Notamacropus eugenii: one gene and its partners. The protein of the gene in region 1 interacts with the protein of each later gene in a pairwise test. Links are inferred from orthologs where the notes say so. Each region holds a gene or a part of one and is shown on either strand. Other genes may lie near its edges.

Evidence for each region.
Region 2: the proteins of CCDC136 (region 1) and PDLIM5 interact in binary tests that used the Homo sapiens proteins (3 or more experiments, as listed by UniProt). The two-hybrid records come from large-scale screens. The link is inferred for Notamacropus eugenii from reciprocal best matches to the Homo sapiens genes CCDC136 and PDLIM5.
Region 3: the proteins of CCDC136 (region 1) and ASB7 interact in binary tests that used the Homo sapiens proteins (3 or more experiments, as listed by UniProt). The two-hybrid records come from large-scale screens. The link is inferred for Notamacropus eugenii from reciprocal best matches to the Homo sapiens genes CCDC136 and ASB7.
Region 4: the proteins of CCDC136 (region 1) and HDAC4 interact in binary tests that used the Homo sapiens proteins (3 or more experiments, as listed by UniProt). The two-hybrid records come from large-scale screens. The link is inferred for Notamacropus eugenii from reciprocal best matches to the Homo sapiens genes CCDC136 and HDAC4.

The regions. Positions count from the first base shown.
Region 1 is NC_092874.1:121,335,293-121,342,774, reverse strand, and holds the start of CCDC136 (coiled-coil domain-containing protein 136), read left to right. Parts: upstream 1-4,480; 5' UTR 4,481-4,940; coding exon 4,941-4,998; intron 4,999-6,441; coding exon 6,442-6,546; intron 6,547-7,482. UniProt on the Homo sapiens protein: May play a role in acrosome formation in spermatogenesis and in fertilization.
Region 2 is NC_092878.1:131,766,184-131,773,722, forward strand, and holds the start of PDLIM5 (PDZ and LIM domain protein 5), read left to right. Parts: upstream 1-4,532; 5' UTR 4,533-4,654; exon of another isoform or gene 4,655-4,705; intron 4,706-6,056; exon of another isoform or gene 6,057-6,157; intron 6,158-7,539. UniProt on the Homo sapiens protein: May play an important role in the heart development by scaffolding PKC to the Z-disk region. May play a role in the regulation of cardiomyocyte expansion. Isoforms lacking the LIM domains may negatively modulate the scaffolding activity of isoform 1.
Region 3 is NC_092872.1:154,030,228-154,037,507, reverse strand, and holds the start of ASB7 (ankyrin repeat and SOCS box protein 7), read left to right. Parts: upstream 1-4,268; 5' UTR 4,269-4,837; intron 4,838-4,959; 5' UTR 4,960-5,031; intron 5,032-5,271; exon of another isoform or gene 5,272-7,280. UniProt on the Homo sapiens protein: Probable substrate-recognition component of a SCF-like ECS (Elongin-Cullin-SOCS-box protein) E3 ubiquitin-protein ligase complex which mediates the ubiquitination and subsequent proteasomal degradation of target proteins.
Region 4 is NC_092873.1:67,091,873-67,099,885, reverse strand, and holds the start of HDAC4 (histone deacetylase 4), read left to right. Parts: upstream 1-4,999; 5' UTR 5,000-5,274; intron 5,275-8,013. UniProt on the Homo sapiens protein: Responsible for the deacetylation of lysine residues on the N-terminal part of the core histones (H2A, H2B, H3 and H4).

The DNA of each region.
Region 1 (7,482 bases):
GAAAAAAGGTCAGTTGTTGGAATAAAACTCAAAAGGCTGCAGGGAACAACTGAGGGTTAGGGGTGAGAGGCCAAGACAGTCAGGAGAATTATTTTCATGAATCTATAGGAAGGATGAGCTGCTCAGATGGGATTAGGAAGGAGGATGAGCTCCTGAACACGAGGATGGAGTTTATTAGAACCAACTCTTCTCTGAGCTGATTACTGAGATGACAGGTTTAGGTCATCCCCAGTGGGCATCCCACAGGGAGGCATCCCACAGGTGGATAGGGCATTACACTGGGCTTTGGAAGAGTTGGGGTCCAGTCCCATCTTTGCCTCCAAAATAGCTGTGGGACTGAACAAATTACTCAGCCATTCCCAGCCTTAGTTTCCTGACTTGTAAAAGAAGGGGGTAGAGGAAGGCTGGACTAGATGACCCAGATCTATAAGTCTCTGTCTTTAAGAGAACTGGATTTGAGTACTAGCTTTAGTAATCCACTCAGCCGCTCAAAAATGTATCACATGCAGTGAGCTAGAAAGTAGTTATTCCTGAATCTTGGCTCATGCCAGTGGAGTCCCTTGAGGCCAATCTGATTGGTTTTGCCATTCTATAACAGACCAGACTCAAACCCCATCACCAAGGTTATCTGGGTCTAGGATCCCTAGGAATTCAAAAAACTCAAGGCAAATGAGATGACCTCGACTCTCAGCACAGAATACTGAATAAACTCAAGATAAACTTAAGAGTCAAACTAAGGCCAGTCTGGACCCCTGGGTTGTGGAAGACACAGAATTAACCTGATACATCCCAGTCTCTGGACAAAGGTAGAGAGTATAGCCAGGTTGACAAGCTGGAAGTTAGGACTACTGAGTCCAATTATGTGACTCTCTCTCTCTCTCTCTCTCTCTCTCTCTCTCTCTCTGAGATAGATTTCTCTAGAAACAAAGTATGATGTTTATATGTTTGAAATTAATCCAGTAGAGATTTAGGGGTTGGAATAAGGTTGTGTGTGTGTGTGTGTGTGTGTGTGTGTGTGTGTGAGAGAGAGAGAGAGAGAGAGAGAGAGAGAGACAGAGACAGAGAGAAAGAGAGACAGAGAGAAAGAGAGACAGAGAGAGAGAGTCTGGAAAATCTCTCTCTTTTTAAAGGCAGGCCTAGTATTTCCTGCTCCAACAAGCTATCTATATCCTAGCGATAGAGGCAGCTAGGTGGTACTAGACCTGGTGTCAAGAAGACCTGAACTCAAATCTGGCCTCAGACTTACTAGTTGTGTGACCCTGGGCAAGTCATTTAACTTCTGCCTGCCTTAGTTTTCTAAACTGTAAAGTGGAGATAATAGTAGCAACCACCTCCCAAGGTTGTTGTAAGGATCAAATGGGATACTTGTAAAGTGCTTAACACAGGACCTGGTACATAATAGGTGCTTAATGCCTGTTCCTTTCCCTTTCCCCCACAGCATCTCCTTCCTCTGCCCTGCCCTTCTTCTGTGACCCTGGTTGATTGGCACCTTCCTGCCTGTGATCTCAGGGAGGGAGACTAATGAGACTCACCTCCATAGAACCCTCCTTATAAAATTTCCGTACTACCCAACTGGGGAGTTCCCTGAGCGACATGAAGATGGAGGCAAGAGTACAAAGGAGAGTTTGATGGATCATTGGACCAAATTCTAAGAACAGCCTCTTACAAACCCACCCTGGCTTCCCTTGTGCGGCCACGGTGAAGACTCCCTTGCAGTACTTTGGTTGTATCATTTCCTAGCCCTTCCCACGCCTGTTTTTGGAGTCTTTCCCAGCTGATGTCTGGGGGGGAAGGGGGGAGGGCTTCCCTAGTTTGAAGGTATCAATCCTGGCACTGGCTAGGGAGGAGGTTGTAGGCTGCCCCAGTGTCCTTCCCTTGTTGCCTCTGCCCTCCACCCCTCAGGTTTCCTTGAGCACCAAAAGTGGAGCTCCATAGCCTTCTCTTAAGAAGTCCCAATAAAAAGGCCTGTGTCTTTCAGCACTGATTGGCCCATCCAGTCCTTTCACAAAGCCTCTTTAACCTTAGCAGCAAACAGTAACCTTGTGAATTTGGCAGAGATTGTGTGTCAAAGTGTATGAAATGTATAAAACTGAAGGACTAGGACTGTTGATTTGTACATGAAGTCATGTGAAAAGACTGCATCAGAGTCATAACATATTTCTGAACCTTGAGCAGTAGGCTGAGGGTAGGTAAGAGGAGAGGAAGCAGGGGAGAAGGACCTGTGAAGTGTAGCCCCAGCAGAAAGAAATGACCCAGGGAATGCTCTCAGGTTTCTGAGCTGCTGAAGAGGGACAAAGAGCTCCTGGGATGGGGCAAGCAGAAGAAGAAAGTCTGATGGAATTAGGTCATCAAAGCAAAGGAAGTCTTTAGGGGGACACTCTCTGGATTATCCACCTGAAGTCTAACTCCAGATGGCTGCCCCTAGCAATGGTTCTGGATTCCATGTACACATGTAAGTGTTTGCTTCATGTATCTGGGAAGCTGGAAGAGCCCACAGGATATTCCTTTTCCTATGTGTCTCTGTAAGTATAGACACAAAAGACTTTGTGTATGTCGTTAGGATCATGGGTCTATTTCTGTACTGCCACCATTTTCTGTTGTGTTACCAACTCTTTTCATAGGTGAACCTAGCAGTAGAGTCCCATAGGCAATCAGCACCTGGAGTATCATTAATACTCAGTAAATTGAGAAGCAGTGGTGGCATTAGTGGAGAATATCCTGGGCTTGAAGTTGGAAGGTCTGGCTTTCCACTGGAGTCTGCCATTTAACTAGCTGGGTGACCCCACTTGACCCATTTGGGCCTCATTGTCTGAAGAATGAGCAACATAAGGTCTACCCTGCCTACTCGACAGGGTTGTTTGGAGAATGAAATAATATATGTGAAAACATTCAGTAGCACAAGTATGGCACATGTATACATGCATATGTGTGGTACAGTAGAAAAAGCAGTAGAGGAGACTGGAGAGAGGACTGACCAGAAAACTGGGACCATATGGACTCACGACCTGCCTCTGACACATCCTGACTGTGGGATCCCAAGCAAATCAGGTAATCTCTGGGTCCCAGGCACCTCTCTAAGGCTACAGGGCACATTGGTTGACATTGGTAGACAGAGATCCCTATTAATGAAACCAAGCCAAAACAAACAAAAAACAACCCAACACTATGTGTACACAATTCTTATAATATACAGTGACAATTATATATCTACCATATCTACAAAAAGCTGATCTGGCTGAGGGCCCTATAACTAGCCTAAACTCCAATCCCTGCTTTGGCCATTAGAAAAGATTAAGACCTGGCCATCTGCCCTATCGAAGAGTGCACATCCGCCAGCTCCCAACAGCTTGCAATCTCTTTCTCTGGAATAATCAAAACACCACTACCTTTACTAGACTGACATGCCAATATACATTCAGACTATGACTTGAAGTCTGCTGAGGCCAAAGCTCACACTACCAACACTGTCCCTACATTGTTCCTGGGGCACTCTTCCTCTTCTTCCACTGTGTCCTCTGAAGCCTGTTCTAATGCTAATGAAACTGCCTGGCAGAATTAGACCTATGTCCTTACCTCCAGAAGTTACTTTGAAGATAGTTCATATTTGTTGCTGTTTAGTCATTTCTGTCATGCCCAACTTTTCTTGACCCCATCTAGACTTTTCTTGGCAAAGAGACTGGAGAAGTTTGTTGTTTCTCCAGCTCATTTGACAGATGGGGAAACGGAGGCAAACTGAGCTAAGTGACTTGCCCAGGGTCACACAGTTGGTGTTTGAGGCCAGATTTCAACTCAGGAAGACAAGTCTTCCTTCCTCCAGGCCCAGCACTCTATCCACTGTGCCATTTAGCACCCCCATATTTCATATTTACTTCCAAATACATTGTTTCCTTCCCTTAGATCATAAGGTCCTTGAGGGCAGGGACTGCTACATTTGATTTGTATTCCGAGCACTTAACAAAGTGACTGTTATGAGGAAAGATATCTCACTATAGCTTGTGGAATTCATTAGGGAATTGTATTAGAGAAAGAGCAAGGTAGCAGTTTAGGGTTTACAAACAAGGAAACTATTTCAGATCCCATTTAACAAAGGGCTGCGTAGTCAATGGATATAATAAAGCCTAATGACCCCGACTGACTATAGAATTGATGGGAGGCAGGGAAGAGAGAGGACCAGAAATACCGGGCTTCATCCCCCCTGTCCCTTCCATGCGTCTCTTTCCAGCCTCCACGTCACCTTAGGTTCCCCACTTGGTCTGTGGGCCTGGAAGCATCCCAGAGCCAGGACAAGCCCTGAACCCGGGGCAGGGAGCTGGCCAGTCCAGGGACTTCGGCCTTGGGAGGAGGGTGTTCTGCTTAAGATAATACAGGGCAGATTATTCCATCATCCCAGGGGGATGCTCCGCTTTACCTCGGCAGCAAAGCCAGGGATATCGGCCAGGCCCCGGGGTTCCTCTGCGCAGACCCCCTCCCCACTTCGCAGCGACTTGGGGGGAGGTGCCGGGAGGCTGTTGAGCCCTCTCCCAGCAGGGCTCCCACGGGAGCAGCCACTTCCTGAACCTAGCCGTCCATCCAAGCTCTCGGTTTGCCCCCCAGTGAGCCTGTACTGTTCTTGCTTCTTTGGGCCAAGGGTCAAGGTGCTCCCACCTGAGCCAGGAATGTGTGCGAGCCCCTTCCCAGGAGCACGCCAGGCGGGCGGCGCGCAGTGACCGGCCGGGTGGGGCTCCGGGACCCTGAGAAGAGAGAGGCTCCAGCTCCCCCCTCCCCACCCCACTCCCGCCTGCGGTTGCGTCAGGTGGGCCGGAGAGGAGACAGGAGGGGAGCCCGGGGGGCTGGGCTCGGTCCCCGCCTGGGGCACGCCTTCCCAGCAGCCCCTCCTCCGCTCCTCCCGCTCCCCAGGCTCTGCGGCTCGGTCCCGAGCAGGGCCGGCAGCGGCTGCGGCCATGGACACGGAAGCTGGGGATGGACCCGAAGCCACGAGCCGGCCCAGCCAGTGCTCAGGTCAGGGCTTTTGCTCATCCGGCTTCTCCTTGCCCTTCTCCATTTCTCCTCCCCTCCTCCTTCCCCAGGCCGAGGTCTCCATCTTTCCCATCCCTCTCCCCGCTCTCCCCGCTCTCCCCGCACGTCCAGCCCGCCGCTGCATCCTGCCTTGAGAGGCTCTCTGGTCATCCTTGTCCCCCCAGCCCCCGCGAAGCGGCTTCACCGCCCTCCCCTCCCTCCCTGCTCGGCTCTGACCCCGGGGCTCTTGTGGGTGCGCACAGATTCTCAGATCCCCTCTGGCACTGGGCACAGTGAAGAGTGGATAATTGGGGGGGGGGAGGAGTAGAAAATCAGGTAGTATGGTGATGATGGCATTTTATTCCCACTCCAGATAACAGAACCCCCTTTGCCATTGCCCCTTCCCTAACCCCCAAGCTTTTTCTCTTCACTTCCTCTCTCCCGTTCCCTCCATCTCTACCTTCTGCTCCCTCTCTCATCTTCCTCTCTTTCCTAAATATACATTCTCTGGCTTATGTATGGAGAGAGACAGAGACAGAGCTGGGTTTAACAGACCTAGTCAGTTCTGACTGTCCAGTCAAAGTCAATAGTAGAACTGGAAATATGGGAGATAAGAAGCAGTAGATGTGGGAATGTAAGCAGGGGAAGGGGAAGGGAGTGATTCACAGGGTCAGGGTCAGCAGCAGAGCTGGGTGTGGAGGAAGGACAGAGAGAAGATATGGGGACCTGTGCTAGGCAGGAGGGGGGGGAGGGGAGAAGAGATTCACAGAGCCAGGGTCAGTTGCAGAATTGGGGGTGGGGCAGATAGAAGCAGATGTAGGGGCCTGTGTTGGGGCAGGGGCTGTCCAGAGAGTCAGAGTCAGAAGCAGAGCTAGGGGTGGAGAGTGGGCAGAGAGAAGCAGAGATCTGTTGTAGAGGGGATTCACAGTCAGGGTCAGCAGCAGAGGGGGAGTAGGGCAGGCAGAAGTGGAGACCTACAGTAAGAGGAGGGAGTTAGAACCGATGGAAGCAGTAGAAGTGGGGGACCTGTGTTGGTAGGAGGAATCAGAGTCAGGAATCAGCAGCAGAGCTGGGAGTGGGGCAGCCAGCAACAGCAGCAGAGATGAGGACTTTATTTGTATTAGGATGGGAGGGGGGAAATTCAGAGGCAGAGTCAGGTGGAGGGATGGCAGTGGGGTGGGGTAGAGTAGAAAGCAGCAGCAGAAGTGGAAACCTGGGCCAGAATGGGGATGATGGCAGGGCCAGGGTCAGCAGCAAAGCTGGGAGTGGGGTGGGAGAGTACAGCAATTGGAACCAGCAGAGGGGCCATAGCTGGGGGATAGGGGACATCAGAGCTAGGAATGGGGAGATGCTTGGACTGACATTAGGATTCAAGCACCCATGACTTGCCTAGGATGGGTATACTCCCCAGCCTTTCCTGTGCCTCTCATACTTCTCTTTCCATAGGATTTCCAGTGACCCCTGCAAAGTCCTGTGAGGGATCTGAGGGCTGTGAGAGGAAGAAAGGCCAATGTTGGGGATCCCTGGAGCGCTGGGGTCAAACCATGGATGGTGAGTTTTCTTGCCCTAAAATGCTTTCTTTTCTTTCTCCCTTCCTACTTTTCAACTCCTTTCTTCTCTCCCTCCCCCTGCAGCTCCTAGCTTTGACTCCATTATTTCCCCCGAGCTTTTCCTAGAACCTTCCTCATCTCAAACTAAGGCCCAGTAGTCACCCTAAGGCTTTGGGGAAGGGAAGCAACTACTTCAAGGTTTCTTCCTGAACACACACGACTTAACTAGGGTCTATCTCATGGGGCTGACTCTGCTAGAAGGAAGCCACACCACCCCAAAAGATTTCCTGATGAGCTTTTTCATCTGAGACACTGGTCCTCACTTCATCCCAACAATGTTACCTGCTCCTGCCCCCAAAATTGTGGTCTGTCTTTCAAGCAAGGCTCCCCTCTCCCCACAGCTTAGTCCTTCAAGGTTGGAAGGAAGACACCAGAGTGGAAGAGGCACAGTCTTATCCAGAGGGCTACAATTCAACCAGCATTCTGCTGCACTGCTCTCTATGAAGCCATCCCCATTCAGGGCTTAAGGAACATATTATCACCTAGGGAGCAATCCCACATTTGCTTCTCTGGAGCCCAGATGGCTTCCAAGGCTTCTACCCAAAGTCTGAATTTCCCTAGGCCAGTGGTCAAGCAGATGTCCTGGGAATTGATTCTTGACCTGGGTGAGGGCTTGAAATCAATAATTCTACATTTCTTTCCAGCTCTCTGATTCTCTCTTTACTTGTCCCAAGTTCCAGCAGTCAGAACTAGAAGGAGCCAGGTATTCATGGGCAAGCTTTCCTTTCTTCTCAGCATCATGCTTTGAAGCACCCCCACCACCAAAAAAAAAAAGCCTGTCATTGTGAGAGGCCCCACCCAAATGAAACTGGTCAGCAAACTCCAGGAAAGGTCAGGGAGAAAGATGAGAATACCCTGAGCCCCAATTCTATAGGCA
Region 2 (7,539 bases), on another chromosome or scaffold:
CTGGTCCTTCTATGGTAGACACATTCCCAGATTCTAATACTCCTATTCCTGTGCTTCAGGATCAGCAAACACTGAGGCAAAAAACTGTGCTGTCTCTTCTCTTTCTCTATACTTCTGTGCCTCTTCACCTCAGCCCTACCCCATGAACAGCTCCATTAATTTCAGCCTACCTTTTTGCCTTCATATTCTGGAATTCTCACTTTTATTGGGAAGAAACTTCTTTCTGTTTTAGGGCTCCTCACTTTTCACATTTTCTTAACTTAACAGAAAGATGGCTTTCTTTTGCTAGAATAATCCTCTTCTTCCTGCTCTTTAACTATTGGTATTCCCCAAGACCACATCCTAGGTTCTCTTTTTTTTCTTTCACTATTCAGTCTTTCTCTAAGTGATCTCATTAGCTCCCATGTATTCAGTGAGCATCTCTATGCACTTGACTCCCAATCGACAAATCGACAAATATAAACCCCAGTCTTTAGAGTCCTACATCACCAAATGCATATCGGGCATTTCTCGTTGGGTATCTGTCCCAAAGGCACATCCAAAGCAGAACTGATCATTTCTCCTTCCCCTCCCCCTTCTTCCTAACTTCTCTATTTCTGTCAACAGTACCATAGTAGTAACATGGATTTAAAACTGAAAGGGACCTTAAAGGTAGCCCAAACCCTCATTTTATAGATGAGGAAACTGAAACACAGGGAGGTTAAGGAGATGGGATAGTTAGACAGATAGATACAGATATAGATATGTGTGTATGCACATATGTAATATAATATAACAACATAATAAATATAATGTAACAATGTAATTTAATATAACATAGTTTAATATATATTATGTTTATATATCATATATAATTTAATATACATTACATATTAATATATAGTTATATATAACATAAATATATTATATATAATATAAATATATAATGTAATAAAATATGTAATATAAAATTATAACTATATATAATATTAAAAATATTATATATATAAAATATAATTTAATAACATACCATAATATAATACAGTATAGTATGACATGATATAATATATGATATAATATGATATGATATATTTGTGTAGTCAAATAACAGATATGTTATCTGAGTCAAGATCTGAATCCAGATCTTTCTGATTACAAGTCCAGTGCCCTAGTCCACAATACCATGCTGTCTCCTTCCTCTTGTAATCACTCAGGAGCCCAGCCTCTCTATTATCCTCCCCAAATCACTCTTTCCTAGTCTGCATATCCAATCAGTTGTTGAATCCTGTCAATTCCACATATACAACATTGTTCATATCACAATCACTACCTTCTTTCAGGTCTTCCATCAGTTCTTACTTGGACTATTGCAATCACTTCCTAATTGGTCCTCCTACCTCCCTTCTCTCCCATCTCTAATCCATCTTCCACATCGATGCCAAAGTCATATTCCCAAAGCCAAGTTCCAAGCATGGGACTCCCCTGCTCAAAAAGCACCAGTATCTCCCTCTTACTTAAAGAATAAAATAAAACTCCTCTGGCTTTTAAAATAATTCACAATCTGGCTTTAATCCATCTTCCATTTTCATTCTCCAAACTCTCCGTCACTTATTCTAGGTTCCTGCTCAGTTGGACTATTCTGCATTTGCCCAGGCTGTCCCCAGGCTGGGTTTGCACACTGCCTCCTCACCCCTATCTGTTAAGATGTCTAGCTTCCTTCAAGGTTCAAGGTTCAGCTTAAGTGACAGTTCCTAAACTAGGGTCCATCTTGACTCCATCCCCTTTTGTTCTGCCTTCCTCCTAAATGCTATTTTATAATTTTTTACATATTTATATTTCTTTACCTATGTGGATGTTGAATCCCTTCAATTGAATATAAGCTCCTTGAATTCAAGAACTGTTTCATTTTTGTCTTTGCACCCCTAGTCCCTCTCAAAGGATATGGCACATAGTACCTGCTCAGTGCTTCTTGAATGAATGAATGAATGAATGAATGAATGAATGAATGAATGAATTGCTTCAAGACTATGTAATTTAACCTCACATCTACACATGGCTTTAAGGTCTGCAAAGTGCTTTTCTCCCAACAGCTCACTGACATACAGAGTACAAGTATTTCAACTTCCATTTTACAGGTTAGGAAATTCGGAGTTTAAGCGATGCTGAGGTCTTCTGACTCCAAGTCCTTCTGTAACATATCAAAATATCCAAATGCAAAATTATTTAGGCATTAGCCACACTTATTCACACATTTAGACACATGCTGCTCTTTGGCTAGATATTGGGCAGCACTAAATAAATATCCGTATAGAAGCTGGGAAATAAGTTAGTAATTCAGACAAAGGGAGGAATTAGTGACTTGAGCATAGCACCAAGAGAGACCACCAAGCCTGCCTCTGATTTCTACCAGCTGTGTATTCTCAGACTTCTAATGTCTAAAACTGAAATAGTAATGCTTGTAGTATCTAACTCACAGAGCTGTCCTGAGACTCCAAGGATAGAGCCAATAAAAAAGATTTTATTGAGTACCTACTGCTAGCACTGGGATGCTCAGCAGACTCAAAAGTGAAACAATATTTGCTCTCAGGCAGTTTATACTCTACTAGGGGAGACTATATTGCTATCCACACGTAAATCAACAAAGGAAATTTATATTTTGCCCCTTTGAAGATCAGCAAAGTTCTTTCCATACCATGATGGATCTGTGATCTCATTCCCTCCAAAAATGCATGTCAGTCTTGTGTATGTGTATGTTAAGAGAAAAGTAAAGCATATATCTATGTGTAGATATAAGAAGAGGGACTGGCATGTTATTTCATGAGTAAGGTAAGGTAATTCCCTCTGTTGTTTCAGGTTAGCATCTTTTATGGAATTTACAGCCCTGAGAAACACCTCCAAGCCTAGGAGTCATCCTCCACTTCTCACTCTCACCCCTTCATATCCAATATTTTGCCAAGGCCAGTGGATTTCATCTCTCAAATATTCTTCTCTCCTCTTACTGTCACCACTCTGGTGCAGACCCTGATTACCTCCTGCCTGGACTCTTCAACAGCCTGCTAGTGGGTCTGCCTGTCTTTCTCCACTCCTATCAATCCTCTATTCAGCCACTAAAGTGATTTCCCCAAAGCACAGGTCCCAGGATGTCACCCCTTCTATTCAATAAACTTCAGTGGATCGTTTTTACCTCCAGGATCAAATACAGAATCCTGTCTGGCATTCAAAGACCTTCATAACTAATTCCTTTTTCCCCTTTCTCCCAAAAAAAAAAAAAAAAACCCCTTTCCAGTTTTCTTCTGTTTTTTCTAGTGAGACAATCAAAGTTGACTTGCCTTGAGTCACACATCTCTGAACCATTAAGCATCTGAGACTGGATTTGAACTCAGGTGTTTTTCTCCCTCTGGGGCCAGTACTTTATCTACCAAGCCGCCTGGCTGCCCTCCTTTCAGTCCTCTTACACCTTACCCTTTCCCACCATTTTCTCATCTCTTCATCCACTGACACTGCTGTTCCAGAACCAGATCTCTAGCATTTTCTCTGGCCGTCCTCCATACCTGAAATGTCCTTCCTCTTCATCTCTGCCTACCGGTCGCTCTGGCTTCCCCTCAGTCCCAACTCAGACCCCATCTTCCCACCTTCTACAGGAAGTCTTTTCCCGCGTCTCAATTCTAGCGCCCTCCCTAATTAGTTCTCACTTATCCTATATAACTTGTTAGTACATATTTGTTTGCTTTTCTCCCCCGCTGAGCCCCTAGAGAACTGGGACTATTTTTTTCTGCCTCTTTTTCTTCTCCAGAGCTTCGCCCAGTGCCTAGCACATGGTGAATGATTAATAAAGGTTTATTGACTGTTATTGTCTGAAAATCTAAGCGATTTGCCCAGGGTCAAAGGCTGGACTAGATGCTGACCAGGTCTTCCCTGATCAACTCTACCCACTCACTACTTCTCATATCTAGGGAGTATATGTATTTGTAATATAATGTTACGTATTTTCCATAAATGATACGAGGCCCTTTTCAAGCTATACAGTGTGATACAATCACCAGCGATCGTTATTCTCCCAGATTTCTTCACTCCTGGGGGAAGGTGGGGGGAAGAGGGGAACTGTCACCCTTTCTTCATCTGAAGTATGGGATTCCTGGCCTTTTCCTTCATTGAAAAGATACTGATTGTACCAAAGTTCTATGAGCACACTGGAATCTCCTGTACTATATAGGAGGGGATTCCCTGAACTCGCATGGCTGGGGAAATCTTAGCCATCGGCATTTCCATTTTAGTAAAAATTTGATTACTTTATAAATACAAGACATACAGAGAAAGAAACAGAGCTGCGGAGGAAATGGGAATCTTTGCGATGTGCCACTCTGGTTTCCGAGGTAGGAAGGCTGCGCTTCAGATGCCCCTGGCCACCTTTCCCCTCCTGGAAGGCTTTTTCCTAGCGCAGCTATTTTCCCTGTCCATTTTCCCTATACTGGAGACACACTTCCCGATCCCTGGAGGGGAGTGGCCCCGGGAGCCAGCAGGGCCGAGGACTTCCCCCCTGGGCCGGGACGTGGGAGGAGCCGCGGGAGAAAGTGGAGGCGGAAGTGCCCGCTAGGAGCCTGGCTCAGCCGCCTTGGGAGTCCGTCACTTGTCAGCGCTGCCCCGCGCCTGAGACAGCGCAGCTCCTGCCCTGTGGGTGAGTGCCCGAGCCCGGCTCCCGGGAGGACTAGCGGTGAATACCCTAGAAGTGAGGAGGCAAGGGAAAGGGGAGGCGTGGAGGAGGACAGAGGCGCGAGCGGTCTCAGTCCCGCAGCGGTGCGGGGTCCTCAGGTGCTCAGCCAGGCTCCGGCGCCAGCGGAGAGCCTTGTGCCCTCCGGAGCGCATCGCGCCCGAGCTGGCTGTGGAGGGAGCGCGGGGAGGTGGCGCGATCACCGGCAGGGAGGGCTGTGGCCGCTGCCCGGGGCCCGGGGGCGGAGAGGGAGGGGCCGGCGGCTACCGTTTGGGGAGGCTCGGTGGGAGCCCGCTAGGGAGTGGGAGCGCGGGCAGGCGGGCGAGAGGCGGCGGCGGCGGCACCTTCGCCTACCCAGCCCAGCCCTGCCCAGCCTAGCCTTCCCGAAGCGGAAAGAGCCTCCGGGCAAAGCCCCAGAAGCCTCCCCCGCTCGGCTGTGCCAGCCGGTCAGCCTGTCAGCCCGCCCGCAGCCATTGGCTCCTGGGCACTGCCTTCATTTACACTTTTTGCTGATTATTTTAGTGGGTATTTCTCTTCTTGGGGGTGGGGGGTGGGGAGAGCAGGAGGTTGTTTATTTCCTTTCCTTTGAAATACACATGCACATGAATCTGTCTCCGAGAGTTGCTTTTCTTTTGCAAAAGCGAATTATTTACAGTTGTGTAACCTGTTTGTGGCCAGTTCCAGCTGAACCGGCAATAAAGTAAATCCTCATTAATAAATTTTGAAAATACAAGCCAGTAAGGAAGCTCCTTGAGGTCAGAGGCGTTCAGTTTTCTCCCTATTCCCAGGGCCAGACAGAGTGCCTAGCATTTAATAAATGCTTTTTGCACTAGTCTGAGCTACAAATGCTTTTTTTTTTTAAGTATTAGGTATTTCTTTTTAAGACTTTGTCTTTGACAACAAGTGGGAAAAAATAAAAGGGTAGAACGAGGCCGGGAAGAAATAAGTGCTCAGAAAACAAACTCATAGCTAAGCTGGGTTGGGCAGGTTTAGGGTGTGATCGCTCGATCTGATCCTCGGGTTCAAGCTTCCTGACTGTCAAGGCGTCTGAAACCAGCCAGCTCCTGCGCCTTATTTGGCCAACAGGGAGAAGCGGGAGCCTGCCTTATGGAAAGCTGCCTGGCCGACCTCTTTCATCCTGTGCCTGTAGCTTTTTAGCCCTTCAGCTGTAACCTCCCGTGTTCTTAACTCTCAACCTGTCCTAGGAGGTGTTTTGGTAGAGCAATGAGTTTTTCTGTTTGGATCGTTGTTTATTTTCATTACCTTCTGGTAAATGGGAGGCTTTTTTTTTCTTCTTAAAAGACAGCTGGAATACTGGAAGTGTGTGGGATAGATACTAAGCTTCCTGTGTGTGTATTGTTCCTTACAGGCTGCAGCCACTTTACAGATTGTTTTGACTTCCCAAAGAACCCAGATCCATACGAAATCCAACATTTTTTACATTTCTAAATTTAAGTTCCTGTCTGCTGGGTATGTTAAGTTTGGGGGGAGTTGTCATATGATGGTTTTCATGATACTCTGAGAAATTCCAATAGTAATAACAAGACTTAAATATATTTTAAGGTGAGCAAAATATGGAGGAAAATACAGAAAATAAAAGTACAAAGCATATCTTCTTTGACATTGCTGGTACAAAATATTTAACAGTGAAGGAGAAAAAAAGGAAACCTTAGATTAACTAATTGTACGCGTTTATATTCACATTACATGAGTTTTCATGCAAAGAATATTAGAGGTCAGAGGAAGTTGAACCAATTGGAGCTATTTGTACCTATAAAATACAGAGTCAGTTTTTTACGTGGTGGGGAAAGACGTCAGCATGTGGTTTCTGAATTGGCATTGCCATCTTTCTTTAATCAATGCAAAGAATTTCTTTTTTAGAAAGGGGAAAACACAAGTCATGTAGCTCTGCTTACTGCTTTTTGCAGTTAGGAAATATTCTCATATGTGCTAGAAATTCTTCCAGTTATATAGGGAGCCTGCTCTTTAACCATTTAGGCATTAATTCAGCATTACTTCCCTGGGGGGGAAAGTAGTCTAAAATCCTGTAATCTGTAACCTAGTTTCATCTACTTAACTTTGATCCATGGCTGGGCATCTTCCAAGATTTCCTTGTATTTTCTGCTGTCTTTTCCTTTATGGAAAGCAGAAGCTAGTATGAGGTAGATAGGCAGTTTTTGGTTTTAGGACCCTCAGTGATTCGTATTTGTAACTGTGATTATGAATATGTCATAGATACAGAAATTTAGATCTCTTGAGATCCTGAAAAAATATTTTAGAAGTGACTGTCAAAAATATTGTAAATGCTTAAAATTGATCAGCAGTCATCACTACAAGGGAAGTGACTATCTATCTAACTATCATCTATCTATCTAGATATAGATATATGTATTTATACACATGTATATGTATATATGTAAGTACACACACACATATATACACACACATTCACACACATTTTTCCCTCTCATTTTTAAAAGTTTCACATGGTTGCTTTAAAAAAAACAATGTGGCTTAAACCTTTCCCTACTCCCAAATAATCATATAAATGTGCAGACTTTGTTTCTGTAAATTCAAATGCAACATAGGGCTAATAGTGGTTTAAACAGGGGCACACTGGAAAGCATTTTATCTTGTAGGTTATGATTCTCCCATAATTTCTATATTAGGCATCTGGCATCTGTTTTATAGTAATCATAGGATCATGGAACTGGCAAGATCTTCAAGGTCATCAAGTCTAAGCCTTCACCCTACTCCCCCCAAGACAGTTGGGGTTAAGTGACTTGCCTAGGGTCACACAGCTAGTAAGTGTCAACTGTCTGAGGCCAGATTTGAACTCCAGTCCTCCTTAC
Region 3 (7,280 bases), on another chromosome or scaffold:
CCAAGGTCTCCCAGTGTATCCTGGGTCATCTCCAGTCATCCTGATGAATATCTGGTCACTGGATTCAGATGGCTCTGGAGGAGAAGTGAGGCTGGTGACCTGCACAGCCCTCCCTCACTCAAAACAAAGTCAAGTGCAAGTCATGTCATCATTTCTCTGAGGGCATGGTCTTCTTTGGCAATGAAGGACGAACACAAAACCTAAGCCAAACTGGGACCAATTGAAAATCTTAGCTTGAAAAGACCAAATGCATCCTGGGCCGTGTCCAGTTGTCCTGATCTGTATCTGGCTACTGCACCCACATGGCTCCAGAGGAGAAAGTGGGGCTGATCACTTTGCACAGCCCTCCCTCACTTTAACTCAATTCACTTGCTTGTCATGGCCTCACTTCTCTAATGTCAGGGTCCTTCTGGAGAACAAAGAACAAACAGCAGTAGTTGTGTCCAATTCTTTGTAACCCCATTTGGTGTTTTTTTGGCAAAGATACTGGAGTGGTTGCTGTTTTGTTCTCCAGTTCATTTTACAGATGAGGAAACTGAGGCAGACAGGGTTAAATGATTTGCACAGGGTTATGCAACTAGTAAGTGTCTGAGGCCTAGCACTCCAAATACTATGCCACCTAGCTGCCCCACTGCACCACCTGGCAGGCATTTAAATACATAGTTGTTAAATAATACAGAAAATTATGTTTTGATGATCTGTACTTTTAAATTCTGGACCAATGGTATGATCTGTGGTTACATTAAAGAAGACACTCTGATTGTTTTGAAAACCATTTTAACTTCAATTTAATGAGCAGGAGAAGGAGTATGTAGTAGCAAGGTACTACACAGAATCAGAAAAACTGGGTATCAACAACTAGCCCAGTGACCCTGGGCAAGTCACTTACCTTTTCTGGGTCTCAGTAATCTCACTTGTGATATAAATGGTTTGTAGTAGATTCATTTCCCAAGTACTCCATTCCAGTAGTAAAACAATCAGTTTTACTATCAATGTAGTTTTCTAAAATGGAATTTTTCATTTTGAAATACTCTGCCTGTGGAAATTAATAGTATAACATAAAAAAAATTACTAAGGATATTGAGAAACTATGGGCCACTAAAAAGTACAAACTTTACAAATTTATTAATTCAACAGACTTTATATTAAAGGCTAGGTATAAAAGGAAACAAAAAGTGTAAGAACACACACACATTCAAATACAGCCTCAGATTACCTGTAACCTTGTGCAAGTCACTTAATCTTGTTTGCCTCAGTTTCCTCATCTGTAAAATGAGCTGGAGAAGAAAATGGCAAACCACTCCAGCGTCTTTGCCAGGAAAACCCCAAATGGAGTCATGAAGAGTTGGCCACAATTCATAGGTAGTAAGGGTCTCCAGGTTTCCTTCTGTATGACATTTTGTTAACTACATCAAGCCTGGGCAGGCTTCACAGCCTCTTAAGTGATATTTATTATCAAGAGTTTGGCCTACTGATCTACAAGGGGTGGGGGTGGGGGGAACAAGTAGATGAAGAATGCCTATTGTGCAGCAGGCTATAATTCAGCTACATAGATAAATCATCAGTACCTATATCTTGAACAGCCACCTTGAATAGCAGTGATTTAATTGTAGAACTTCCTGGGAAGAGGAGAGTAGGCTGTAGTGATTTTGGAAAATCAGACAATATTTTTGAGTTTCTCTCTGTTTTTACCCTAACATTTTCTTACAGCAGAGTGTAGCATTCCGCCGTATTTAAGGCATCCTCAAACAAACACACAAACACACACACACACACACACACACACACACACACACACACAGGATTGTCAAGCCTTTGATGATGGAGGTCCTTTCATATCTACAATCCCAGAGTAATCATTTTTTACATACTTATTTGAATACTTTCAAAATCTATTTCAAGTGGGCACACTGCAGCAATGCAGATCACAAAATGGCTTTGCTCAGAGATGGTTCAATGGACGGCTGAAGCCAAAAATAAACAAACTTAATTTTCTTTCCAATCATTTGGTGAAGGTATTCTAAACTTAGTTACCTAGGTTGGACCCTGGAGAACAGACCGAAAGGGTCCATACCTATACTCACGGTGTTTTCAGCTTAGCAAAATCTTCTGTGGCCTGCACTTTGCAGGTATAACATTTGAGGACTAAGGATTACCTCTCCAGAAACAATGAAGCAGTACAGTGGGAATTCAATGGGTGTCTTGTACAATGCTGTTCAGTAGTTTTTCAGGCCCCATTTGGTGTTTTCTTGGCAAAGATATTGTTGTGGTTTGCCATTTTCTTCTCTAGTTCATCTCACAGATGAGGAAACTGAGGCAAACAGGGTTAAGTGACTTACCCAGGGTCACACAGCTACTAAGGGTCTGAGGCTAGATTTGGACTCAGGAAGATGAGTCTTCCTGACTCCAAGTCCAACACTCTATAGGCTACCTATTGTACATAATTGGTGCTTATAAATCTTCGTTAAATTGAAGGCTTTCAGGATATGTAGGCTGAGGAAAGATTAGACTCTCACCAGTCTTAACAATTATACATTCCCAAATGTCTAGCCACCCTGTTCTAAAAAGTTGAAGTTTCAATTTGTCATGAACTAGCAAGAAATGGAGACAGGTCAATTTCACAGAATTTATGAAATGAAACTAAGCTCTTTTAGAGCAGGAACTATTTTTTGCCTTTACTTGGATCCCCAATGCTTAGCACAGTGCCTGGCACAGAGTAGGTTATTAATACATGCTACTTCACTGAAATATTGAACTACTTCCAGTTTAATTAAGCTTTTTCTAAAAACAGGAATGTTACACTTGAATTTCTATGTCTGGTCTCCCAAGACATGTCTTGTTAGGATCTGTGTATAGGCCCTGTCTGCAGTCTTAGGCTCAATCCCAAGCCTGAGAGCCTGAAACAAGTTATCCAATCCAACTCTCATTCTACAGAAAACAATGACCAGTGGTCTGGCAAAGTTGGGGAGAAGAAAAGGGAAGTTCCCACTATTCCTTATACGTGACGGTACTGTTTAAATGATACTGCATCGTGGAATACATTATAAACTATTTAGAAGGAAGTAAAGTTTCATTACTTTGGACTTTACAAATCTGCGATCATCTGGTCTGTGCTCAGAGCTCGTAGAGACTTCACACCCCATGAAGGCTTACTTTTTCAAACTTTCTCCATTTGAAAAAATCCACCAAGCAAAAAATAACATCAACACGACAGCAATTTGGTAACATCTTTAGAAGCTAAATACAGTGGTTACGTGAATTAAACATAACACTTATTCCCGAAAATTGGATGAGTATTATTCATTCCTTAAGCAAAGTGGGTTTTTAAAAATACAGTGGTCCATTAATTAGTCCAACTTCCCTTGCGATTATAAAGCAGCAAAATCTGCACTTTAATAACAGACCATGGGCTTAGACTGACCAGGACACTTAGCATTCACACACAAAACACTTTCCCCACAAAAAGACAGCGAAGCGCGCGTACAAGTGTCCCTTATTTTACAAACGTCTAGTCCACGCGTCTGCTAAGGGTCACGACTTTTGAGGCATATTTAAGCAGTATTTAAGAAACATTAGCAGAACGGTGCCGCCAATGCGCCCCAGAGAACTCACACTTCCGGTCCTCTCAACTTCTCGAAGCGCACGTGCAGAGCTCCGGGCTGCGAAGTCCCAGCGGCCCCCGCGGCACAGGGAAGGACGGGGGCTCAGCCGGAAAGCGGAGCCTGGCGGAGGAGCCGGGGGGAGCGGCGGGCTCCCAGACCTCACCTGTCTCCACCCTCGGCTTCCCGGGCCTACTGCCCGCTTCCTCCCTCCCCGAGTCGGCCCTTTCCCCTTCAGTCAGTCTCACAAACTCCTTGGAGAAGATTCCCCCACTCGCCCGCGTCCTCCCCTCCTTCCATCACGTCACCGTTTTTATCAGCCCAGGAGTCCCGAGGAAGCAGCCCCGCCTTCACGCTCAGGATCCAAGTGGACCATGGCTCCCAGGGACACTACTCTGTCCCTACCTCCCGGGCACCGTAGTTCCAAGAGATTCGTATGCCCTCCTAGTCTCCGCCCACCGCATGCGCAGAGACCCCTCCCTCGCGCGGTGGTCGCTTAGCAACTTCCCCGAGTCCTCTCGCTAGGGGCGGAGTCTGGAAGGGAGTGGAGAAGCGGTGAGGGGAGCGGGGAGTGGAGCCAATCGGAGACGAGTCCTGGCGCAGAACGGCACGCCTCTTCCAACTGTCGCGAACGCGCATGTGGCTTTACGGCAGAGGAGGGGGGGTGGGGGAGCGGGGAGAAGGCGGAGAGAAGAAACCAACCAACCAACCAAGCCACCCCCACCCCCACCCACCTCAGACCTGGTTTACGGCTCCGGGCTCAGTCCCCTGTGAGGCAGCTGATTGGTTGGTGGGGGGTTGGTCCCTTCCCTGTGACCCCAAAGTGCTGAAGGGGGGCGGGGGTGGCCCTGTGCAAAGTGCACCCAGAAAGCCCCCCGCCTTGAGCCCCCCGGCCGGCCCCCTCCAGCCCGCGGCCCCCTCACACCCTGCAGGAGCTGATTTCTTCCTGCCCAGAGACCTTCCCGGTCCCCCCACAACTGCGGCGCTCCTGCCCCCGACATCGGCAGCCGCTGCCCCGGGCACCCTAACTGGCTCTCCCCCCCACCCCCTGCCCTGAGGTCCCCCCAGATCAGGCTGCCTCCCCCGCTCCGCGGTCCGGGCGCTCGCCGGCCGAGGCGAGGCGCTGAGGAGAGCCGGGCGCCCGAGCGGTCCGGCCCTGAGGCGATCTCTTTTCATGGAGAAGTTGGTGGCCGCGGTGGCGGCGGGGAGGAGGAGCAGAAGCCGCTGAGGCTGGAGAGGTAGGAAAGTCAGTTAGGTCCCGGGGGCGGCGGCGGGGAGCCGGGTCACCTGCGCCCGCTCCCCCCGGCTCGGACCCGGCTGACTGCTGCCCGCCGGGGCTCTGCCTGCTTGGCTTTTCCAGGTTCCCCGGAGACCCGAAAACGGGAGGACTGCCGAACCGGCGCCGAAAGCGGGCTCCGCTGCCAGTGCCCAGGTGAGCCTCCTGCCCTCCCCCGCCCCCTCCCGCCGGAGCCGGGGCTTTATTTAGGGGAGCGCCCCGGTCCGCGCTGCCCGGCCGGCCAGGCAGAAGCCCCGCCTGCTTCCTAACCTCGCACTCCTAACTTCCTGGCCCCGGGGCTGGGGGCTGGGTGCCATCCTCGCCTAGACTCCCCCTGCCCGGCTTGGCCGCTGGGAGACCTTCGGGGACGTTTTTATTTGTTTGCTCCTCCCGCAGGGACTTCACAAGTCACTGGCTTTGCTGGTCAGTTTTTCAGGAAACTGTGATTTATAGGCATTTTCTCCTTGACTTTCCTCATCTTTCCAGTGGTCAGCCTATGAAATTTGGAGGACGCTGATAAGCCGTTTGAACGTGGATGTAGATAATCTGAGTCCTAGAAAATGTATCGATTAATCTTTGTACTTTGAATTATTTGCAGAATTTAATTTGTCATCACAGTATGTAGAGAAGTCACGATTTTCACTTTTTTTTGATAACTTCAAATTTGAGGTGTAGATAATGGACTTTTACAAACCAAGCCAAACACAATGCATTTCAGGATTTCACCAAGAATGGTTAACATCTCACAATATCTTGACAACAGGGGATTATTGTGTTTGTTTGTTTGTTTTAAAGAGAGGGGGGTTCACGTTGAGGTTGGTTTTATCTTAGGCCGCGGTCTGTAGGACTTTATTTTGGCAGTCTTCACGGTTGGCCTGCTTTTTAAATGTAAAAATCTTGCAGAAAATGTTCGGCTACTATTTTAAAAGCTGGTAAAGATGTTAAAAAATCCTCCATTTGGGGGTTATGTTATTGAAAGTGATTGAGAGGTAAATTCAGGCATTTATACAGCCCATACACTGGGAGACAGAAACAGGAAAATTGGCTAGGGAAAATTTTATGTAGGAGTTGGCCAAACGAACAATATGTTTCTGACATACAATGACATTTAAGGATGTAAAATGACTTCTAATTACTTCTTTCATAATCTTTTTAATATTTCAAATTATTTGGGATGTTTCCTTTTCAGTTACAGTTACAAAGCATCACTTAATTGCAAAGGGAGTTGGTAGGAAGTCTTTACTTCACCTCACTACCCTGTGGCCTTGTGCCTTCCTTGTGGAAAACAAAAATTGTGTCATTAATGGACCTTTCCACTGTCATTCTGAGATAATTCCCCTTCCGATGTGTTGCATTTATAACTACTGTGAACCTTAATGGGAATTGACTATCAGAGGGAGAATGTACTGTGCTGAATACATTTTACAGTTACTATGTACTAGTTAAAGTAGATAATATTGGTGAAAGTTTAATGTCCCTTTTGTCTACTCACAGGCTTTTGCTTGTATTTTTGTGGAGGGAGGTGGAAAGAGACATAAATATGTATAGAATCAAAGACAGAGACCTTTATTTGCTACATTTCAATAAAACTAGGCAGTACAGTCAAGTTGGAGGATAAGTTTCCACATTTAAATATAAAAATTTCAACTGCGGATAGTACATATGTTAGGATTTTTTCCCCTAAACTCTTTAGTTTTTGATATCAAAATGAAGTTCTCTGTTATGCAAGTTTTCTCACTTAAGCATGTTTCAAGCTTAAATTTAATAGAACATATTTCCTTCTGAAGGTTCTTTTTTATATTCCTTTGCTAAAGTACTACTAAAGCCTTATTAGAGTATGCAAACAATCCTGGTTTCTGAAAGGGGGTGATGTGAGTGAAGTAAAGCTCTGGAAGGAGCTATCAAGGTGGAAGGACATGTAATTCAAAGACAGTCCTAGTTAAATTTGGAGAGGTTCGTCACCAGAAGGTTGACAACCAGGTGATAAACTCATTTGCCCACAGCAGCATATGAAGACCACATATGTTGTGGAAGGGTTGTGATCTGTATTGGGAGGAATACCCACACCAGTGAAATTGGGTCATTTGACATAATGAAGATTTTGTTTTAAAATGATAGTCTGTAACTAAAGTGCAAATTTAAGGTAAGGAAGGTTTGCCTCCATACCCCACAACTTGGCCAGTCCATCATCGTTTTTGTTGTTTGTGTTATACCTTTTTAATTTTATTTCATTGATTTTTAAAATTTGTTTTATGTCTTTAATGAGTTGTTTTGCTGATATAAGTTCTATCCATCTTTTGTGTCTCTGAGAGTGTAATTGAGAATTGGAGTTGTGTCAGACACTATTTTAACCAGTTTGCTGAAATGTTCTTTATTGTTCATGTCTTAATCCTGCTAGGATTTTT
Region 4 (8,013 bases), on another chromosome or scaffold:
AGCCAAGGATGTGCTGTATTGGTGGCCTGATTAATCCACTGCTGGGCTGGGCCTTTCCTCAGGGTTGGCTCCTTTTTCCAACCTTTCAAAGGCCTCCAGGTCTTTCTTTTTCCAACCCTCCTTCATTTAAAATCAGAAAAGAGTCGGGCAAGAAGAGCCAAGACAGAGGTCCACAACGGTGAGAGACTTCCTGCTCCCAGCTGGCAGCATCTCATTCCCTGGAGAACTCACCAGATCCTGCTTCTCTGTGGGAGTCTTTTTCTATGCTCTCTCTTTTCTGGTACAATGGCCGGTTAATAGCAATGACCATCAGCACCATCACAATAGCCAACATTTATTAAGCACCTACTGTGTGCCAGGCACTGAGCTCAGCACTGGTGACATAAGAAAAGGCAAGCACAGTTCCAGCCCCCCAGGGACTCACTGTGTAATGAGGAGACTGGGAGTAGGCCACCTGGTACCTATGAGACATCTCAGCTAGGAAGGCTTAGGGGAAGGGGGTGGGGCAAGAGAAAGTGTGGGACTCTAAGACATTTGTCAGCTTGTCAATAAACAATGATTAAGCACTTACCAAGTACCCACCACTTGGTAAGCCCTGGGGATATAGTCACTGGACAGTCCCTGCCCACCAGGAGTTCACAGTGGAATGGAGGAGGCCACAGGCAACAAATGCCCACAAAACAGGATTATTAGGAAGTACCTGCCAGAGGGAAAGTGCTGGAATTTGGGAGAAAGCTGGGGCTAATATTTGTAAAGGGCTATGTCAATGCTACTCCTTATCTAGCCTGAAGAAGAGAGGCCCTGGGAAAGTATTTAAAAAGCTAGAGTGTGGACGAGATTTTAGGACACCACTGCAGGATCACTGACTGAAAGCTGGCAGGGTCCAATTTAGGAGAACTTGATTAAGGGCCTACATCACACAGGGAGTAAATCGGGAATCTGGGGCTCCACTCTCAAGGTTGGGACTCTGACCTTGACAGCCTAGGCCCACTCTTTTGCATAGCAGAGGCCAGAGCTAGCTCAGCAGGAGAGGTAAAGACCCTTCCCAACAAGGAAATCTGGTGGGAGCTGGGGGGAGTCAGTGTCTGAAGGGAGGCCTCCTGTCGCTGGGAACTTTCTAGTTGAGGCTGGATGCCACTTGTTGGGCGTGTAGGAGAATGGTTTTCTGTTAAGGTCTGGGTTGGATTGGACAGATTCTGTCTAGAGTGTTCCCCTACCCTTATGCTGACTCAATTTTACTGCTGAAGACCTAGAAAGGAAGATTTGTGACCTAGGTTGTGTCTTGTTTCTGAATATTCAAGTCTCTTCAAAGTAGAGGATGCCCCTGGCTGACTTACTCTTCCTCTAATGCCTGGACTCAGGGAGGGCAGCCTTTCCAGCACAGAGAGGACACACAGAGAGGCTGACCATGACAATCCAGAGAGGAGCAAGAGGCCCCCCAAAGCTGAGAAGCAAAGTCCCTATATTTCACCTCATTTCAACGTTCTCAATAACTGATGACGCCATAAGTTCACAGCTCCAGGACTGGGCAACACCTGGGAGGACATTGAGTCCTAGGAAACTGAGGTTCAGAGAAGTGAGGTCACCTGCCCAGGGTCACCATCAAGGAAGCCTTAAGTGCACAATTTGAATCCAAGATCTTAACACAGAATACCACTCTGCCTCTCGAATGTGGGACAAGCTGACTGTACACAAGTAGACTTCAGGCCTTGTTAATTAAAAAAGCCATGTTAATTCTGAAGGGCCTCCAACCTTGGATGGGCCTAGCCTTCTCGACAATTCTGTGAATCATCCTGCATAGAGCAGGTTTGTGGATGACACAAATCTGAGTTCCTGATACACTGAGCTCAGTGGGGTATGCTGTGGGCTTCTGAGCACCTGAAAGGTTGGGTCATGGAGGAGGAATTCATGTGATTTTGCTTGGCCACAGAGGGTTGATGTGCCCCAGTCTCAGGAAGGCCTTCTGAGGGCGAAGGACTCCACAAAGAAGCCAAGTCATGGCTTGGCCTAGGTGTATGTCTTCTTGGTCTGTCAACCAGGAATTATTCCTTCAGGGCTTGGAGGAGGGACTTGTTAGATCTGGAGGGTCCCATCAAACCCTAATTTAATGACTGAGCAAGAATAGTAAAGCCAGACTCAAACAAAGCCCTATTAGATGGTGAGCTCCTTGAGGACAGGGACTGTTTTGGGGGCCTTTCTTTGTAATCCCAGAATTTACAGTACAGTGCCTAACAACTGTGGGTACTTAAACAATGCTTGTTGATGACTACAAGCCTACCTATGAGGATTCATTTCAGAGTGCAGAGGCGGTATCTAGCAGCAGCAGAGACCTTTCCTTAAGCAATGGAGGAAGGGAGGGTGACTGATCCTCAGGAGCAGCCCAAACCTCTAGAGTGGAGGGATGGAGACCTTGGCTGTCTGAAGCACAGTGATGCTCTCAAGTGGCAGGCTGGCAGGGTGGAATTTCATTGTCATCACTATCCCTGGTGATCCCCTCACTTCTTATCCATTCATTCTAACTCCATGTTTTATATCTGAAGTCTCAAGTGTTGCCCCTTGAATGTGAGATGCCTTAGAAGGTCCCCGGGAGCTTGGGAGAGGGACTGATGTTGGGAGACATGGAAGCCTGGGAGTTATCTGTATTGAGCAGATCACGGAACCCTTGGGAGCTGAAAAGTCACCAAGAGACAGAGGGGAGTATTGAGAGAAAGGGGCCCAGGAACAATTCTCGGAGTACCCATCCACTCTGCTTCCCAGAAAAGATTCAGAGATTACAATCCACAGTGGCACTCTCAGCTGGGCTGGGAGTGTGGACTCAAGCCTGACCTGGAGGAGACTACCAGAATGTCACAGAAGGCAATTAAAATATTCATGAACCCAGGGCAAAAGTGTGTCTCTGTCCTCATCTCACTCTGGAAAGAATGCTGGATTTGAAGTGAACGCTAATTTTCTGTGTGACCCTGGATAATTCACTTCCTGGCTTGGTGCCTCAGTTTCCAAATATGTAGAATGGAGACAACAGCAGGTGCAGGCAGGGTATCAGTAAGATAGGCATTTGACCAAACTACACCAATTTAAACTGTTGTTGTCATAGAGAGTATCTGACTGGAGAATCCATTATGAAGAAACTGGTGGAAACTCCCTGCAGGCAGGGCTTATCCTTTTCATCTGGGTATCCAAGGGGCTTTGCCGTGTATGGCACAGAGGAGCTATGTAGTCCAGGCTTCTGGCTTCCTCCAGCATTCCTCAGAAGCTCAGAATTCAGCAGAATTTGGAAGAGGCCTTCAAGACCCCCTCCCCCCAATCTTCAGGACAAATGGTCACCAGTCTAATATTCCAGGTCTCCAGGGAGGGGGCCCATGGCACCAAAGCCCTCTCAGGCATCGAGTTTCCCCAGATCTCATGGGCCCAAGGCCTCAGTTGGTCTCAATTCTGCTTTCAGGAGCTGGGCCGGACAGGCCTCATCCCTGTCCTGCTGGATGGTCGGAGGGCAAGAGGACAACTGCCTCCCCAGCGGCCAAGGCTGCAACTCTTAATCCAGTTCAAGTTGCAGGTTGCTTTTTGGCCGAATTTCCCCAGGCATCTCTGGTTGTGGAGTCAAAGACCTTGGTTCCTCTGCTTCAGCCCACAAGATCTCAGTTCCTCTTTCCAGGCCATACATCTCCAGCCTCCAAGCCTTTCCTCAGGCTGAGACCTCTGCCTGGAGTGCCCTCCCTTCAAGCCTCACCTTTTCTTGGAAACCCTTCCTAACCCTCCCCGTGGGTATCTAATTTGCATACAGGTGACTGAAGCTTCTGCCTATTGGAGGGGGGGATCCTGGGGGCAGGGCTGGCCTTGGTCTCTCTTTGCATCTGCACTGAGCACACAGTAGGTGCTTAATAAATTTTGGAGCCTGAGCGGTGCTTTTGATGGGCTGCACTGTGTGACCTTGGATAAGTCCCTTTCCTCCTCCGGGGGCCTGCCATGCCCCACCTGGACGTTATCGGAGGTCCTTCAAAGCCTCTGCAGCTGGGGGGAGCCTCGGTTTCCTTCCGTGTAAATCGGGGCGCCGGCCTAGGGGGGCTCGAAAATCCCCCAGGCGCAGGGTCACGCACAGGGTCACGCAGGGGCGTGCCCAGTCCGACCCCGAGACTTCTAGGATTCTCGGACCTGGCGCCGCTGTGTGACCTCGGGCAAGTCCAGCACCCTCTCTGGGCCGGGGCAGGAGCAGCTGAGCGAGGAGGAGAGGCTGGGCGAGACCCCAGAAGGGGGCGCTCCTGCGTCCCAGGGCCGGGCCGCGCTTGCGCACTGGGCAGCGCCCGTCCACTAGCCCGCCCGACTTCCCCCTTACCCACTCACCCTCCCTCCCCGCCCCGTGCAAACGCAAGGGGGGGGGGGGGGGCCGCGCGCATGGCCGAGCCACGTGACCCGCAGGCTCTGCCCCAAGATGGCGGCCGCGGCCGGTTTAACGGTTCCCCGAGCTCGAGCTCCTGGTCCGTTGGGCCCCTTCGCCCCGCCCTCCTGCGCCCGCTCCGGGTGTGGGTCCAGTCTCTAGGCCAGTCCGACGTGCCCTGTCCCGCTTTTCCTGCGCGCGCGCGCCCCCTCACCCTGGCTCCGCGGGTCGGCTCTAAGAGGCGGGGCCGGCGCGCAGCGCTATTGACGGGCAGCCGCCGTAGCCAATCGGCTCCCGAACGTGCCTCTCCGGGGCGGGGTTAACCGGCGCTCCGTTTTCGCGTCGGGTCCTTCGGCTTTCGGGAGAGGGGCGGGAGCGACCTGGGTGGTGCCCCCCTTCCTCGAGCCGACCAATGGGAGGGAGGAGAGGTGCCCTTGGAGGGGCGGGGCCGAACCGTAATTGACGAGCGCTTCCTTAGGAGTCCGGGAGGAGGGAGGGCGGCGAGGGGGTGGTGACGCAAGCCCAGGTACACCAATAGGTGGCGGGCTGCGGGCGGCGGGGGCGGAGCCGTGGCCACTGATGGACAGCGCGGGCGGCCTATGGACGAGCGGCGTGGTGGGGGGGGCCTGAGCCTCCTGGTTCAACGTGGGTCAATTTTTTGTGAATGAGGAGGGAGGTTGTGGGGCCGCCGTCGCCGCCGTGGTGGGGAGCGAGCCAGTGCCCGAGAGCCCCAGCCCCGCCACCGCTGCCGCCTCCGCAGCCCGGCCCGGCCCGCTCCGAGCCCGGAGCCGCCGCCGCCGCCGCCGCTCCGAGCGCCGCCCCGGGCCCGGCCCGCCCGGGGAGATGCGGCCCCAGAGGGAGGCGATGCCCGAGCCGCGGCCGCCGCCCCGGAGCCCGCCCCGGTAAGTGCAGGGCAGCCGCCCGGGCCATTGTCCGCCTCCGCCCGGTGCCCACGCCGACCCGGGCCCCGCGCTGCCGTCCCTCCCTCGAGACAGACAGACAGACAGACAGGCAGACGGACTGACGGAGCCCGGCCCGGGACACAGACCTCCCCCTCCCCCAGCCCCCGGTTCTCTGCCCCCCTCCCCCAGGCGCGGGTCCCCACTTGTCATCCCCCTGCCCCCTCCCCCAGCACCGTGCCTGTCATCTCCGCCCCCCAGCTGCGTCTCCCCCCGGGCTTCCAGCGGGGCTCGGCCAGCTCCCCCAGCCCCTGCCTCCCCGCCCGGCCCGGCTCGTTCCAGGGCGCCGCTGCTGCGCCAGCAGGTTGGAGAGCATCCTGCTGGGGGGGGGAGAAGGGGGAGGCGGCCCCAGACCCCCACCCAGCCCCCCCGCCGCGCTTCGAGCAGAACGGCCGATCTCCTGGGGAACCCCCTCCCCGATGGGGATCGGTGACCCCAGCGCTGGTGTGGGATTTGGGGACCCCCCCAGTCCAGCGCCAGCCCACCCCTCTCGTAACGTCTGGAGTCTGGGGGCTGCGGGGCTGCTGAGTCCCAGCCTGAAGCCCTGGGCAGATTGAGGACAGAGATAGGTGCCTGGCTGCCTGGCGTGGGCTCCCCGAACCGGTTTGGTTTGGCGTGTGTGTGTGTGTGTGTGTGTGTGTGTGTGTGTGTGTGTGTTGGGCGTGGGGTGGGGGGGGCGTGGGGGGGGCGCTGAGCAAGGAGCTTGCGAATGGGGAGGCCTCGCCACTCGCGCCCAGCCCCAGACTGCAGAGGAGTGAGCGCCTGGCTGGAGCAGGACTGACCCATCCTCCAGGGGAGGGCTGAGCAGCGGGGACCCCACGGGCTTGGATGCGTCTCGGGTGTGTGTGGGGGGCAATGGGGAGGGGAGCTAAGCCCACAGTAAGAAACTGCAGTTCTGAGGCTTCATTTTGTCAGAATGGAAAAAAGGAGCGACCGCTGGCTGAAGTCGCTGCAGCGGAATCCATCCCTGTGCCAGGGCCGGGATCCGCTGTAGGGGGCCTGGAGATCATGCAGCTGGACCTCTCCTTGCCCGGGAAACTGAGGGCTGGGGCTTGAAGCAGCTCAGATCCCTCCCAGCCAGGAAGGAGGGTTGGGCTGCCTAGCAGGCCTGGGTGGCTTTCATTCGGAATGGTTTTCTCAGCCTAGGGATGTTGCTGGGTTATATTATCAGAACTCCTCTGGCATTGCAAAAACACAACATGAAATGAGAGGCAACTTATCTTTTATTTCCTCTGTACGCAGACTGATTGGCCACTGGAATAGCTGGAGACCTTCTGTGTGCCCCAGAAGGGCCTGTCTCGGAAGGAAGGCCCATCAACAATTTCTAATAACTTCTCTCTCTGATTAGGAAGGTTCCTTTTATTGGGTGGCTGGAAATTGACCTGCTGTGACACAATTTTCAAATAAAGCTTTGTAGAAATTAAACTTAAGTTATTTTAAACTAATGACTTTCTTAACTAAATCTTAATTGCATGACTACAGAGACCAGCCTAATTGCCTAATGAAAAAAATGCCTGCTGGTTCTAGGTAGGGAGTGTGTCTCTGTCAGCATCACCGTTACCGGTGGTGGTGATGGCTGGGCTGGAGGCTCAATCTCCTCTGCTTGCCCCTCCGATGGCCTTTCTGGTCCTACCACAAGTCCCCCGAAAGCATCTGAAAGCCTAGTGCCTTTAAAGAAAACAGGCTGGGCAGAAGTAAACAAACAAACCGACCAGACTGCCAGCCAGCCCTGCCTGTCAGCCTAGCCTCCCCCACCCCCTTTTGTAATAGGATCGGGCCCAGGCGGTTGCCTGGAGTTTTAATTGTTTCTGATAATTCCCTGCCTTATTTTAGGGGCTTTAGATTCAAAGCCGCTGTTGTGGTTTCTGAGCCTCAAACTTAATGGGGGTGTGTGTGGGGGGGTGGGATGGAATGAAGAAAACTCAGCTGCATGTGTGCAAATAGTCACCGCGGCAATTACGAGGCAACAAAAGTTATGGCAGCATTTTGCGGTAGCTATGGCAACACGTTTACGCGATTATAATTGGAAATGCAAAATGCCACCCAGTCAGAACTTTTGGCAGTTGTAGATTTGGGGGTAGGCTAAAGCTGGAAGTAGGCCTTTCTCTCTCTTCTCCTCCCAGGCGCCAGAGGGGCCCCCCAAAAAGAACATCAAGGTCTCTATCCTTTTCTCTTTATTAGACTTTCTGAAAGTTCTGTGATACATCATATGCATAACATCCCTCTAAATTGGTGGCACCGGAGAGCTCAAATATGTGTGGGAGGGAAGGAAGTATTTTCATGCCTTCGATTTTTTTCTTTTTAAAGACTTGGATCTCTGTTCTAGGCTTTTGTTTTAAAGATCAGATCCTTTCCCCAAAGTGAGCATCCACGAACCAGGACACTTGGGGTGGGGGTGAGGGTGTCTGGCTTCTTCTGCCAGCTCTGCCCTTGTTACCTTGCTTGGGGTCTCCCCGCCACTACCACTTGCTGGCCTTACTTCACCCCCTCTGTCAAGTTAAGGGTGTGTGCTGAGTGCCCTCCAAAGGCTGGGAGGAGAGATCCCAGCAGGATCTCTGGCTATAAGCTTGGCCTAGCAGGCCATTACCCTCTTTCTGATTCATCCTCCTTCTCTAGCTAGGTGAAAACCTATTGAGGCAGATGAGGGGGTGCTCTGGTGGAGGGTGGAAGGCCCAGGCTGGG